Linked DNA regions of Pelodiscus sinensis. The protein of the gene in region 1 binds, or shares a complex with, the protein of each later gene. Links are inferred from orthologs where the notes say so. Each region holds a gene or a part of one and is shown in the gene's direction. Other genes may lie near its edges.

Evidence for each region.
Region 2: ODAD1 (region 1) and CLXN share a complex: the UniProt entries of both Homo sapiens proteins name them as parts of the outer dynein arm-docking complex. The link is inferred for Pelodiscus sinensis from reciprocal best matches to the Homo sapiens genes ODAD1 and CLXN.
Region 3: ODAD1 (region 1) and ODAD4 share a complex: the UniProt entries of both Homo sapiens proteins name them as parts of the outer dynein arm-docking complex. The link is inferred for Pelodiscus sinensis from reciprocal best matches to the Homo sapiens genes ODAD1 and ODAD4.

Annotation. Positions count from the first base shown.
Region 1 is NW_027465849.1:3,917,996-3,921,736, reverse strand, and holds the start of ODAD1 (outer dynein arm-docking complex subunit 1), read left to right. Parts: upstream 1-1,211; 5' UTR 1,212-1,339; intron 1,340-3,101; 5' UTR 3,102-3,307; intron 3,308-3,741. UniProt on the Homo sapiens protein: Component of the outer dynein arm-docking complex (ODA-DC) that mediates outer dynein arms (ODA) binding onto the doublet microtubule. Involved in mediating assembly of both ODAs and their axonemal docking complex onto ciliary microtubules.
Region 2 is NC_134712.1:213,648,220-213,651,960, forward strand, and holds the start of CLXN (calaxin), read left to right. Parts: upstream 1-1,382; 5' UTR 1,383-1,720; coding exon 1,721-1,778; intron 1,779-3,741. UniProt on the Homo sapiens protein: Component of the outer dynein arm-docking complex (ODA-DC) that mediates outer dynein arms (ODA) binding onto the doublet microtubule. Seems to regulate the assembly of both ODAs and their axonemal docking complex onto ciliary microtubules.
Region 3 is NC_134739.1:9,762,345-9,766,085, reverse strand, and holds the start of ODAD4 (outer dynein arm-docking complex subunit 4), read left to right. Parts: upstream 1-1,503; 5' UTR 1,504-1,544; coding exon 1,545-1,658; intron 1,659-3,741. UniProt on the Homo sapiens protein: Component of the outer dynein arm-docking complex (ODA-DC) that mediates outer dynein arms (ODA) binding onto the doublet microtubule. Plays an essential role for the assembly of ODA-DC and for the docking of ODA in ciliary axoneme.

The DNA of each region.
Region 1 (3,741 bases):
AGCTCTGCGAGGGGAGTGGGGGCTAGTGGTTAGAGCAAGGCAATGGGAGCCGGGACTCCTGGGTTCTCTGCTAGCTCTGCGAGGGGAGTGGGGGCTAGTGGTTAAAGCAAGGCAATGGGAGCCAGGACTCCTGGGCTCTCTCCTAACTCTGGGAGGGAAGTGTGGTCTAGTGGTTACAGCAGGAGCAGGAGCAGGAGCAGGGGCCGGGGGGGCAGGACTTCTGGGTTCTATTCCCCAGCCCTGGGAGGGGAGATGGGGTGAGAGCTCAGAGCAGGGGTCCAATCTATGGATGCTGCCGTCTTGCCTCGCCTTGCTGCTGGGATGGGGTGTGTAGGGCAATAGGAAAGCAGGCCCGTGTCTGACAATCTTCCCATCACGACATCCTGTGCCCGGAACACCCCTGCCCAATCAGGCGCCGGGCCCTGGCAACAGGCCGCAGCGCCGGCTGTGATGGGACAAACACGGGTGGTTGGGTGGGGTGACAAGGTTTGGTGGTTTCCGGTGCTGGGGTGCCGCGTGGTGTGTGGGGCTGTGAGCAAGAGCTCTATGAGTCACGCAGCCCCCACCCTCCACTGAGCCCGCCATTCGTGCAGCTGTTCCCGTCCTTAGCATCCTGCTTCCCGTATGCCTGCCCCCTTGCTTCCCTTTGCCCCTCGCTTCCTGCCAGTGCACCTGCCCCGGCTCCCCACCGTGCACTCCCCACCATTGCAGCCGGCCCCCCAGCTGTGCACTCCCCACCATTGCAGCCGGACCCCCACCGTGCACTCCCCACCATTGCAGCCGGCCCCCCACCATGCACTCCCCACCATTGCAGCCGGACCCCCACCGTGCACTCCCCACCATTGCAGCCGGCCCCCCAGCTGTGCACTCCCCACCATTGCAGCCGGCCCCCCAGCTGTGCACTCCCCACCATTGCAGCCGGCCCCCCACCGTGCACTCCCCACCATTGCAGCCGGCCCCCCAGCTGTGCACTCCCCACCATTGCAGCCGGACCCCCAGCTGTGTGCGTGTTTTGTGCACGTGCCTCAATGCATCCAGCCCCAGCCGTGCACCTGCTCCCAGCCCTCCATCCACTCCCCATTACAATTCCCCCCAGCAGAGCAGGGAGGGACCGCGCATGCGCGGGAAGTCGGCTAGGGGCGGGAGCAGCGGCAAGGGGCGGGGTTTGCACAGCGGGCGATGCCTTGGCGGGGGAAGGGGGAAGGGAGGAAGGAGGGAGCTGTTAGTCCGGCGCATGCGCAGTGACGGCCAGGCCCTACTCAGAGTTAATTCAGGAGCCTGGAGGAAGGAGGGACAACAGGCTCCGCCCCCTGTCCTGGTCCCGCCCCCTGGCCTGCTGGTGAGACACCCCCCAACCCTCCAGAGCGGGGGTGCAGGGCCTGGGAGTGACCTGCTGTGTCCTTGGTGTGACAAGCCCTTGGTGTGACCTGCCAGGTCCCTGGCATGACCCGCCGTGTCCTTGGCATGACTTGGCGGGGCATTGGTGTGACCTGCCGGGACCTTGGTATGACCCGCTGTGTCCTTGGCATGACTTGGCGGGGCATTGGTGTGACCTGCCGGGACCTTGGTATGACCTGCAGTGTCCTTGGCATGACTTGGCAGCACATTGGTGTGACCTGCCGGGACCTTGGCATGACTTGGCGGGGCATTGGTGTGACCTGCCGGGACCTTGGCATGACCCGCCGTGTCCTTGGCATGACTTGTGACGGCCTTGGCATGATCTGCCGTGTCTTTGGCATGACTTGGCGGGGCATTAGTGTGACCTGCCATGTCCTTGGCAGGACTTGTGACGGCCTTGGTGTGATCTGTCATGGCCTTGGCATGACATGTGGGGGCCTTGGTGTGACCTGATGGAGTCCTTGGCATGACTTGTGGAGGCATTGACATGGCGAGGCTTTGGCGTGGCTTGTGGGGGTGTTGGCGTGTCCTGCCATGTCCTTGGCGTGACTTGTGGGGATGTTGGTGTGACGAGGCCTTGGCATGACTTGTGGGGGCATTGGCATAACCTGCCATGTCCTTGGTATGACAAGGCCTTGCTGTGACCTGCCAGGTCTCAGGCATGATTTGTGGGGGCCTTGACATGATGTGGCAGGGCATTGGTGGGACCTGTTGGGACCTTGGAGTGACCTGATAGATCCTTGGCAAGACAGAGCCACTGAGACTTTGGCATGGCCTGTTGAGTCTGGTGTGACCTGCCAGGTCCTTGGCATGACAGAGCCACTGAGACCTTGGCGTGACCTGCTGCAGCCTTGGCATGACAAAGCCCCTGGGGCCTTGGTGTAATCTGCTTTGGTGTAATCTGAGAATCCTGGGTGTGACGGAGCCTCACTGGGGCCTTGGCATGACTTGCTGGGGCCTTGGTGTGACTGGACAGGGCTTGGGTGAGGTGCGGCTTTGGTACGACCTGTCAGGACCTAGGTATGGTTGGGCCTTGGTTTGCCATCGCCGTCTGCAGTGGGGGCGGGGCAGGAGCGTCTGGGGCCACGGCGAGATGTGACCGTGTTTTGGCGTGACCTGACGGTGTGTTGCCATGACAGCCGGGGGCAGAGCCTTAGCGTGATGCCCAGGTGAAATGAGCAGCAGTAGCGCCCCCTATGGTTGTGATGGAGCTGCTGGGGCAGTATCATGGGTCCTCCCTTACCCCATGATCCCAGGCTCTGCTGCTGCCCCTTAGCTCCTCCCCCACGCCCTGGCATCCCCCACAGTGGAGTGGGGTGCCCTGATCCCAGCAGGACTCCACCCCAACCTGCCATCTTCTGCATAGGCACCTGGGAGCTCATTAACTTGGCAATAAATTCTTTCCTGTTCACCCAGCCCTCCCACCTGCTCTAACCACTGCGCCCCACATCCCTCCAAGAGCCAAGATAGAACCCAGGAGCCCTGGCTTCTCCTCTCCCCTCCGCTCCATAGCTGAGGGTGGATGGGATAAATAAGGGTGTGTTTGGGATTGGGGTGGAGTGCTGGGGGAAGGTGGGGATGGGAATGGTTGGGACAAGGGGGCAAGGAGAGGTGGGGCTGGTGGAGGGAATAAAAGGGATTTTCCAGTGTGGCTTTCTTGTTTCTCCTAATCTGACGTGTTCCCCCTTTTTCTCCCCCCACAGGGCTCCATCCTCGCCCCCATTGGCTGAGAGATTTCTGCTTCCTGGAGACGGTTGCCAACAACTCGGGCAGTGAGGGGAGGGCGGCGATGCTGGCAGGCGAGGAGAGGCCGGGAGTGATCCCCGTGCCCCCCCGTGCCCGGCAGGGACTGGGTCCCCACCGAGCCCACTGACCACCCCATCACCCGGACTGGCTGCTGGAGAGCGAGGTAAATCCCTGCCTGCAGGGGTGGGAGGCTCTGGGTTAGGAAGGAGATTGTACCCCAGATCTCCCCTGAGCCGTGAACTGCCCCCCAGACTCCCCCCGAGCCTGAACTATCCCCCCAAACTATCCCCCAGACTCCCCCCGAGCCTGAACTATCCCCCCAAACTATCCCCCAGACTCCCCCTGAGCCTGAACTATCCCCCCAGACTCCCCCTGAACCTGAACTGTCCCCCCAAACTATCCCCCAGACTCCCCCAAGCCTGAACTATCCCCCCAAACTATCCCCCAGACTCCTCCCGAGCCTGAACTGTCCCCCCAAACTATCCCCCAGACTCCCCCAAGCCTGAACTATCCCCCCAAACTATCCCCCCAGACTCCCCCCCGAGCCTGAACTATCCCCCCAAACTATCCCCCAGACTCCCCCCGAGCCTGAACTGT
Region 2 (3,741 bases), on another chromosome or scaffold:
ACAAAAGCTGCAGTCAAGCGTAGTTAATGGAGTTGGAGGCACTAAAAGGTGCAAGCCTAGAACAAAACTTTTATACCCGTGGTCCCCAACACGGTGCCCGCAGGCGCCATGGCGCCCGCGGGGGCATTTCCAGGCGCCCGCCAGGTGCTCGGGGCTGGCCTGGCCCCGGGCGCGCGGCGCTAGGCGGGGGGAGCGCCGGCGCTAGGCGGGGGGAGCGCCGGGCGCGCGGCGCTAGGCGGGGGGAGCGCCGGCCCCGGGCGCGCGGCGCTAGGCGGGGGGAGCGCCGCCCCGGGCATGCGACTATGGGGGGGGCTGCCCCTGGGCATGCGGCTATGGGGGGGGCCGCCCCTGGGGTGCAAGTGTCCCCGCCCCCTGGCGCCCGGTGGGCGAACGGCCCCGCCCCCTGGCGCCCGGCAACCTTGAAAGGTTGGGGACCACTGTTTTATACTATCTGACCCCTAGTGCCCAGAGATTTGCAACTCAGGCTACGTCTACACTGCAATGCTATTTTGGGATACGGGAAGCCTGTTATTTCGGATTTGCTATTCTGATATCCCTGTAAATCTAATTCCACAAGGAATAAGGGACATTTCACAATAACGGGTTATTTCTAAATAATATGGGGAAATAAGCTATTTTGAAATAAGATGGAAATAAATGCAATTTGAGCCAATCTTATTTTGCCCTACCGTGCAGTGTAGACAACCCAACTGCAGGTACGGTTACCAAATTTAAAAAAAAATGCACTTGATCTCAGATGGGGGCGGCCGGCAGGGGATTGGGGCTGGCCAGGAGGGGATCGGGGGGAGTGGGGCTGGCCGGGGGGGGGGGGGGGGCGAACAGCTGGCAGGAAGTGAGGCTGGCCAAGAGAGGGTTGCGGGGAGCAGGGCTGGCAATGGGAGAGCGGGGGAAGGAACTGACTGCTGGGAAGTAGGGCTGGCTGGGAGGGAGTCAGGGGGAGTGGGGCTGGCCTGGGAGCATGCAGATCCTGGGGTGCTGCCTATCCCATGTAGTGTCCTGGCAGGGTGCACAGGCGAGTCTGGCCCTGGGCATGCCATCCTGCCCCAGCCCAGCCCCTCCCTCCTCCTCTCTACTGTGTGAGTGTCTCTCCAGCCAGGCAGCATGCTACTCATGATGATGATAAAATTTAAGTAGAAAATACCGAACATTTATATGTCTGGTGTTTTCTCCATTTTTTTCAGGGACAGAAAGCTCAAATACCCGACTGACCAGTTCAAAACCGGACACCTGGCAAGTTGCAACTCTAGGTCTGCAGGGGAATGAGCGAGTTTTACTTCCCCAGGTTAACAGCCTCTAAGCGGCACTTGCGGGCCGGGGAGCGGCTGCATTGCTGGGGGAGGGTGGGGGGGCGGTTTCCCGGCAGGCCGGAGAGGCTGAGTAGGTGCCCGGCGGCTCAGCGGGAGTGGGCACGAGCCTGTGGTGGAGGAGCAGGGCCATGGAAGGGAGTCCCGCTCTCCACAAGAGGGCCCGTGCACACGGGAGCTGAGGAGGTGCGAACGGGGTTCTGAGGAGAAATGGCCCCACTCCCTTCCCGTACCTGGGCACGAATCCGTTGCTGGGCAACGACACCTCATGAGTTTCCGCCCTGCAGCTAGAGGCCCCGGCTCTGGCTTTGTGATTGGCTGATCACCTGTGCTCTGTTGCCATGGTGACAGCGTGCGGCTCCTAGAAGGGGGGCGACAGCCGGCTTGAGAGCAGCATGAACAGGAAGAAGCTGCAGAAGCTCGCGGAGTCGCTGTGCCGGACGGCGAAGCACTGTGAGTGCCGGGGCGGCCCCAGGCCTGCTGCGTCCCGGGCTCCATCAGCGGTTCCCAGCCCCGCCCCAAGCAGGAACCACGTCCTCCCAGCCCCCTCTGCGCCAGGCATGTCCCTATCGCCCTCCCGCCTTTGGGCAGCCCCCTCGCCGCCCAGCACCGCCTCTGCACCCCCACCGTCCTCATGGATCCAGCCCCCTAGTGTCTAGCGTGGCCCCAGGCATTCCTCTGCAGCCCCCACGGATCCAGGCCCTTAAAGCCCAGCATGGCCCCAGGCATTCCTCTGCAGCCCCCACGGATCCAGGCCCTTAAAGCCCAGCATGGCCCCAGGCATTCCTCTGCAGGCCCCATGGATCCAGCCCCCTAAAGCCCAGCATGGCCCCAGGCATTCCTCTGCAGGCCCCATGGATCCAGCCCCCTAAAGCCCAGCATGGCCCCAGGCATTCCTCTGCAGGCCCCATGGATCCAGCCCCCTAAAGCCCAGCATGGCCCCAGGCATTCCTCTGCAGGCCCCACGGATCCAGGCCCTTAAAGCCCAGCATGGCCCCAGGCATTCCTCTGCAGCCCCCATGGATCCAGGCCCCTAAAGCCCAGCATGGCCCCAGGCATTCCTCTGCAGGCCCCACGGATCCAGGCCCTTAAAGCCCAGCATGGCCCCAGGCATTCCTCTGCAGGCCCCATGGATCCAGCCCCCTAAAGCCCAGCATGGCCCCAGGCATTCCTCTGCAGGCCCCATGGATCCAGCCCCCTAAAGCCCAGCATGGCCCCAGGCATTCCTCTGCAGCCCCCATGGATCCAGGCCCCTAAAGCCCAGCATGGCCCCAGGCATTTCTCTGCAGCCCCCACGGATCCAGCCCCCTAAAGCCCAGCATGGCCCCAGGCATTCCTCTGCAGGCCCCACGGATCCAGGCCCTTAAAGCCCAGCATGGCCCCAGGCATTCCTCTGCAGGCCCCATGGATCCAGCCCCCTAAAGCCCAGCATGGCCCCAGGCATTCCTCTGCAGGCCCCATGGATCCAGCCCCCTAAAGCCCAGCATGGCCCCAGGCATTCCTCTGCAGGCCCCATGGATCCAGCCCCCTAAAGCCCAGCATGGCCCCAGGCATTCCTCTGCAGGCCCCACGGATCCAGGCCCTTAAAGCCCAGCATGGCCCCAGGCATTCCTCTGCAGCCCCCATGGATCCAGGCCCCTAAAGCCCAGCATGGCCCCAGGCATTCCTCTGCAGGCCCCACGGATCCAGGCCCTTAAAGCCCAGCATGGCCCCAGGCATTCCTCTGCAGGCCCCATGGATCCAGCCCCCTAAAGCCCAGCATGGCCCCAGGCATTCCTCTGCAGCCCCCATGGATCCAGGCCCCTAAAGCCCAGCATGGCCCCAGGCATTTCTCTGCAGCCCCCACGGATCCAGCCCCCTAAAGCCCAGCATGGCCCCAGGCATTCCTCTGCAGCCCCCACGGATCCAGGCCCCTAAAGCCCAGCATGGCCCCAGGCATTCCTCTGCAGCCCCCACGGATCCAGGCCCCTAAAGCCCAGCATTGCCCCAGGCATTCCTCTGCAGCCCCCATGGATCCAGCCCCCTAAAGCCCAGCATGGCCCCAGGCATTCTTCTGCAGCCCCCACGGATCCAGGCCCCTAAAGCCCAGCATGGCCCCAGGCATTCCTCTGCAGCCCCCATGGATCCAGCCCCCTAAAGCCCAGCATGGCCCCAGGCATTCCTCTGCAGCCCCCACGGATCCAGGCCCCTAAAGCCCAGCATGGCCCCAGGCATTCCTCTGCAGCCCCCATGGATCCAGCCCCCTAAAGCCCAGCATGGCCCCAGGCATTCCTCTGCAGCCCCCATGGATTCAGCCCCCTAGGCACCAAGAATTCCCCTTCAGCTTCCCCTCTCCCCATGGTACCAACCCCTCCAGATTTTACCTGCAGCTCTCCATTGTTGTGGAACTAGTGCGCTCATAATGCTTACAGCTCCT
Region 3 (3,741 bases), on another chromosome or scaffold:
AAGCACCAGGCAATGGGGAGCAATGGGGGGAGGGGAGTGGGGAGTGTCAGGGGGCTGGAAGGAGATGGGGGGGGGGAGGGGAGTGGGGGGTATCAGAGGCTGGCAGGGGGAAAGCACCAGGCAATGGGGAGCAATGGGGGGGGAGGTGAGTGGGGAGTGCCAGGGGGCTGGAAGGAGATAAGGGGGGGGAGGGGAGTGGGGGGTATCAGAGGCTGGCAGGGGGAAAGCACCAGGCAATGGGGAGCAATGGGGGGAGGGGAGTGGGGAGTGTCAGGGGGCTGGAAGGAGATGGGGGGGGGAGGGGAGTGGGGGGTATCAGAGGCTGGCAGGGGGAAAGCACCAGGCAATGGGGAGCAATGGGGGGGGAGGTGAGTGGGGAGTGTCAGGGGGCTGGAAGGAGATAAGGGGGGGGAGGGGAGTGGGGGGGTATCAGAGGCTGGCAGGGGGAAAGCACCAGGCAATGGGGAGCAATGGGGGGGGAGGTGAGTGGGGAGTGCCAGGGGGCTGGAAGGAGATAAGGGGGGGGAGGGGAGTGGGGGGTATCAGAGGCTGGCAGGGGGAAAGCACCAGGCAATGGGGAGCAATGGGGGGAGGGGAGTGGGGAGTGTCAGGGGGCTGGAAGGAGATGGGGGGGGGGAGGGGAGTGGGGGGTATCAGAGGCTGGCAGGGGGAAAGCACCAGGCAATGGGGAGCAATGGGGGGAGGGGAGTGGGGAGTGTCAGGGGGCTGGAAGGAGATAAGGGAGGGGAGAGGAGTGGGGGGGTATCAGAGGCTGGCAGGGGGTAAAGCACCAGGCAATGGGGAGCAATGGGGGGGAGGTGAGTGGGGAGTGTCAGGGGGTTGGAAGGAGAGAGGGGAGGGGAGAGGAGTGGGGGGGTATCAGAGGCTGGCAGGGGGAAAGCACCAGGCAATGGGGAGCAATGGGGGGGAGGGGAGTGGGGAGTGTCAGGGGGCTGGAAGGAGATAAGGGGGGGGAGGGGAGTGGGGGGGTATCAGAGGCTGGCAGGGGGAAAGCACCAGGCAATGGGGAGCAATGGGGGGGGAGGTGAGTGGGGAGTGTCAGGGGGTTGGAAGGAGAGAGGGGAGGGGAGAGGAGTGGGGGGGTATCAGAGGCTGGCAGGGGGGAAAGCACCAGGCAATGGGGAGCAATGGGGGGGGAGGTGAGTGGGGAGTGCCAGGGGGCTGGAAGGAGATAAGGGGGGGGAGGGGAGTGGGGGGTATCAGAGGCTGGCAGGGGGAAAGCACCAGGCAATGGGGAGCAATGGGGGGAGGGGAGTGGGGAGTGTCAGGGGGCTGGAAGGAGATAAGGGGGGGGAGGGGAGTGGGGGGTATCAGAGGCTGGCAGGGGGAAAGCACCAGGCAATGGGGAGCTGGTGGGCAGAGGGCTGGCGGGGGAGGGGGCAGAAGCTCCGGGCGCCTGCCAGGTCGGGTCCTGCGCGAGAAGCTGTCTGGGGGCGTGGCCACGCGCGGGGCGGGGCCGGTCCCGCCCCCGGAAGTCCGGCGGCGGTTGCTAGGCAGCGGATGTCAAGCAGTGGCCCGGGCCGATGGAGGACGCGGAGGGCGAGGGGCAGAGCGGGACCTTCCCCAGCCTCATGGCCGAGGGGACGCTGCTCAGCCGGCGGGGGGAGCACGGCAAGGCGCTGGTCTGCTTCACCAACGTGAGCGGCTCCGTCCTTATGAATATTCATGAGCGCGCCCCCCGGCCCCCCCCAGTGGCTGGCGATGCTGATGCGGGGCAGGAAGCGGGGGGGGGGGGCATGGTGCACAGAGGCCGGGGGGGGTGACACTTGTGGAGGGGGGTGTGGTGCACAGAGGCGGGGGGGGGTGACACTTGTGGAGGGGGGTGTGGTGCACAGAGGCCGGGGGGGGTGACACTTGTGGAGGGGGGTGTGGTGCACAGAGGCGGGGGGGTGACACTTGTGGAGGGGGGTGTGGTGCACAGAGGCCGGGGGGGGTGACACTTGTGGAGGGGGGTGTGGTGCACAGAGGCGGGGGGGTGACACTTGTGGAGGGGGGTGTGGTGCACAGAGGCGGGGGGGGGTGACACTTGTGAAGGGGGGTGTGGTGCACAGAAGCGGGGGGGTTGACACTTGTGGAGGGGGGTGTGGTGCACAGAAGCGGGGGGGTGACACTTGTGGAGGGGGTGTGGTGCACAGAGGCCGGGGGGGTGACACTTGTGGAGGGGGGTGTGGTGCACAGAGGCCGGGGGGGTGACACTTGTGGAGGGGGGTGTGGTGCACAGAGGCCGGGGGGGTGACACTTGTGGAGGGGGGTGTGGTGCACAGAAGCGGGGGGGTGACACTTGTGGAGGGGGTGTGGTGCACAGAGGCCGGGGGGGTGACACTTGTGAAGGGGGGTGTGGTGCACAGAGGCGGGGGGGTGACACTTGTGGAGGGGGTGTGGTGCAGAGAGGCGGGGGGGTGACACTTGTGGAGGGGGGTGTGGTGCACAGAGGCCGGGGGGGTGACACTTGTGGAGGGGGGTGTGGTGCACAGAGGCCGGGGGGGTGACACTTGTGGAGGGGGGTGTGGTGCACAGAAGCGGGGGGGTTGACACTTGTGGAGGGGGTGTGGTGCACAGAGGCCGGGGGGGTGACACTTGTGAAGGGGGGTGTGGTGCACAGAGGCGGGGGGGTGACACTTGTGGAGGGGGTGTGGTGCAGAGAGGCGGGGGGGTGACACTTGTGGAGGGGGGTGTGGTGCACAGAGGCCGGGGGGGTGACACTTGTGGAGGGGGGTGTGGTGCACAGAGGCGGGGGGGTGACACTTGTGGAGGGGGTGTGGTGCAGAGAGGCGGGGGGGTGACACTTGTGGAGGGGGGTGTGGTGCACAGAGGCCGGGGGGGTGACACTTGTGGAGGGGGTGTGGTGCACAGAGGCGGGGGGGTGACACTTGTGGAGGGGGGTGTGGTGCACAGAGGCCGGGGGGGGTGACACTTGTGGAGGGGGGTGTGGTGCACAGAGGCGGGGGGGGTGACACTTGTGGAGGGGGGTGTGGTGCACAGAGGCCGGGGGGGTGACACTTGTGGAGGGGGGTGTGGTGCACAGAGGCGGGGGGGGTGACACTTGTGGAGGGGGGTGTGGTGCACAGAGGCGGGGGGGTGACACTTGTGGAGGGGGGTGTGGTGCACAGAGGCCGGGGGGGTGACACTTGTGGAGGGGGGTGTGGTGCACAGAGGCCGGGGGGGTGACACTTGTGGAGGGGGGTGTGGTGCACAGAGGCGGGGGGGTGACACTTGTGGAGGGGGGTGTGGTGCACAGAAGCGGGGGGGTGACACTTGTGGAGGGGGGTGTGGTGCACAGAAGCGGGGGGGTGACACTTGTGGAGGGGGGTGTGGTGCACAGAGGCGGGGGGGGTGACACTTGAGGAGGGGGGTGTGGTGCACAGAGGCCGGGGGGGTGACACTTGTGGAGGGGGGTGTGGTGCACAGAGGCGGGGGGGTGACACTTGTGGAGGGGGGTGTGGTGCACAGAGGCCGGGGGGGGTGACACTTGAGGAGGGGGGTGTGGTGCACAGAGGCCGGGGGGGTGACACTTGTGGAGGGGGGTGTGGTGCACAGAGGCCGGGGGGGTGACACTTGTGGAGGGGGTGTGGTGCAGAGAGGCGGGGGGGGTGACACTTGTGGAGGGGGGTGTGGTGCACAGAGGCGGGGGGGTGACACTTGTGGAGGGGGGTGTGGTGCACAGAGGCCGGGGGGGTGACACTTGTGGAGGGGGGTGTGGTGCACAGAGGCGGGGGGGTG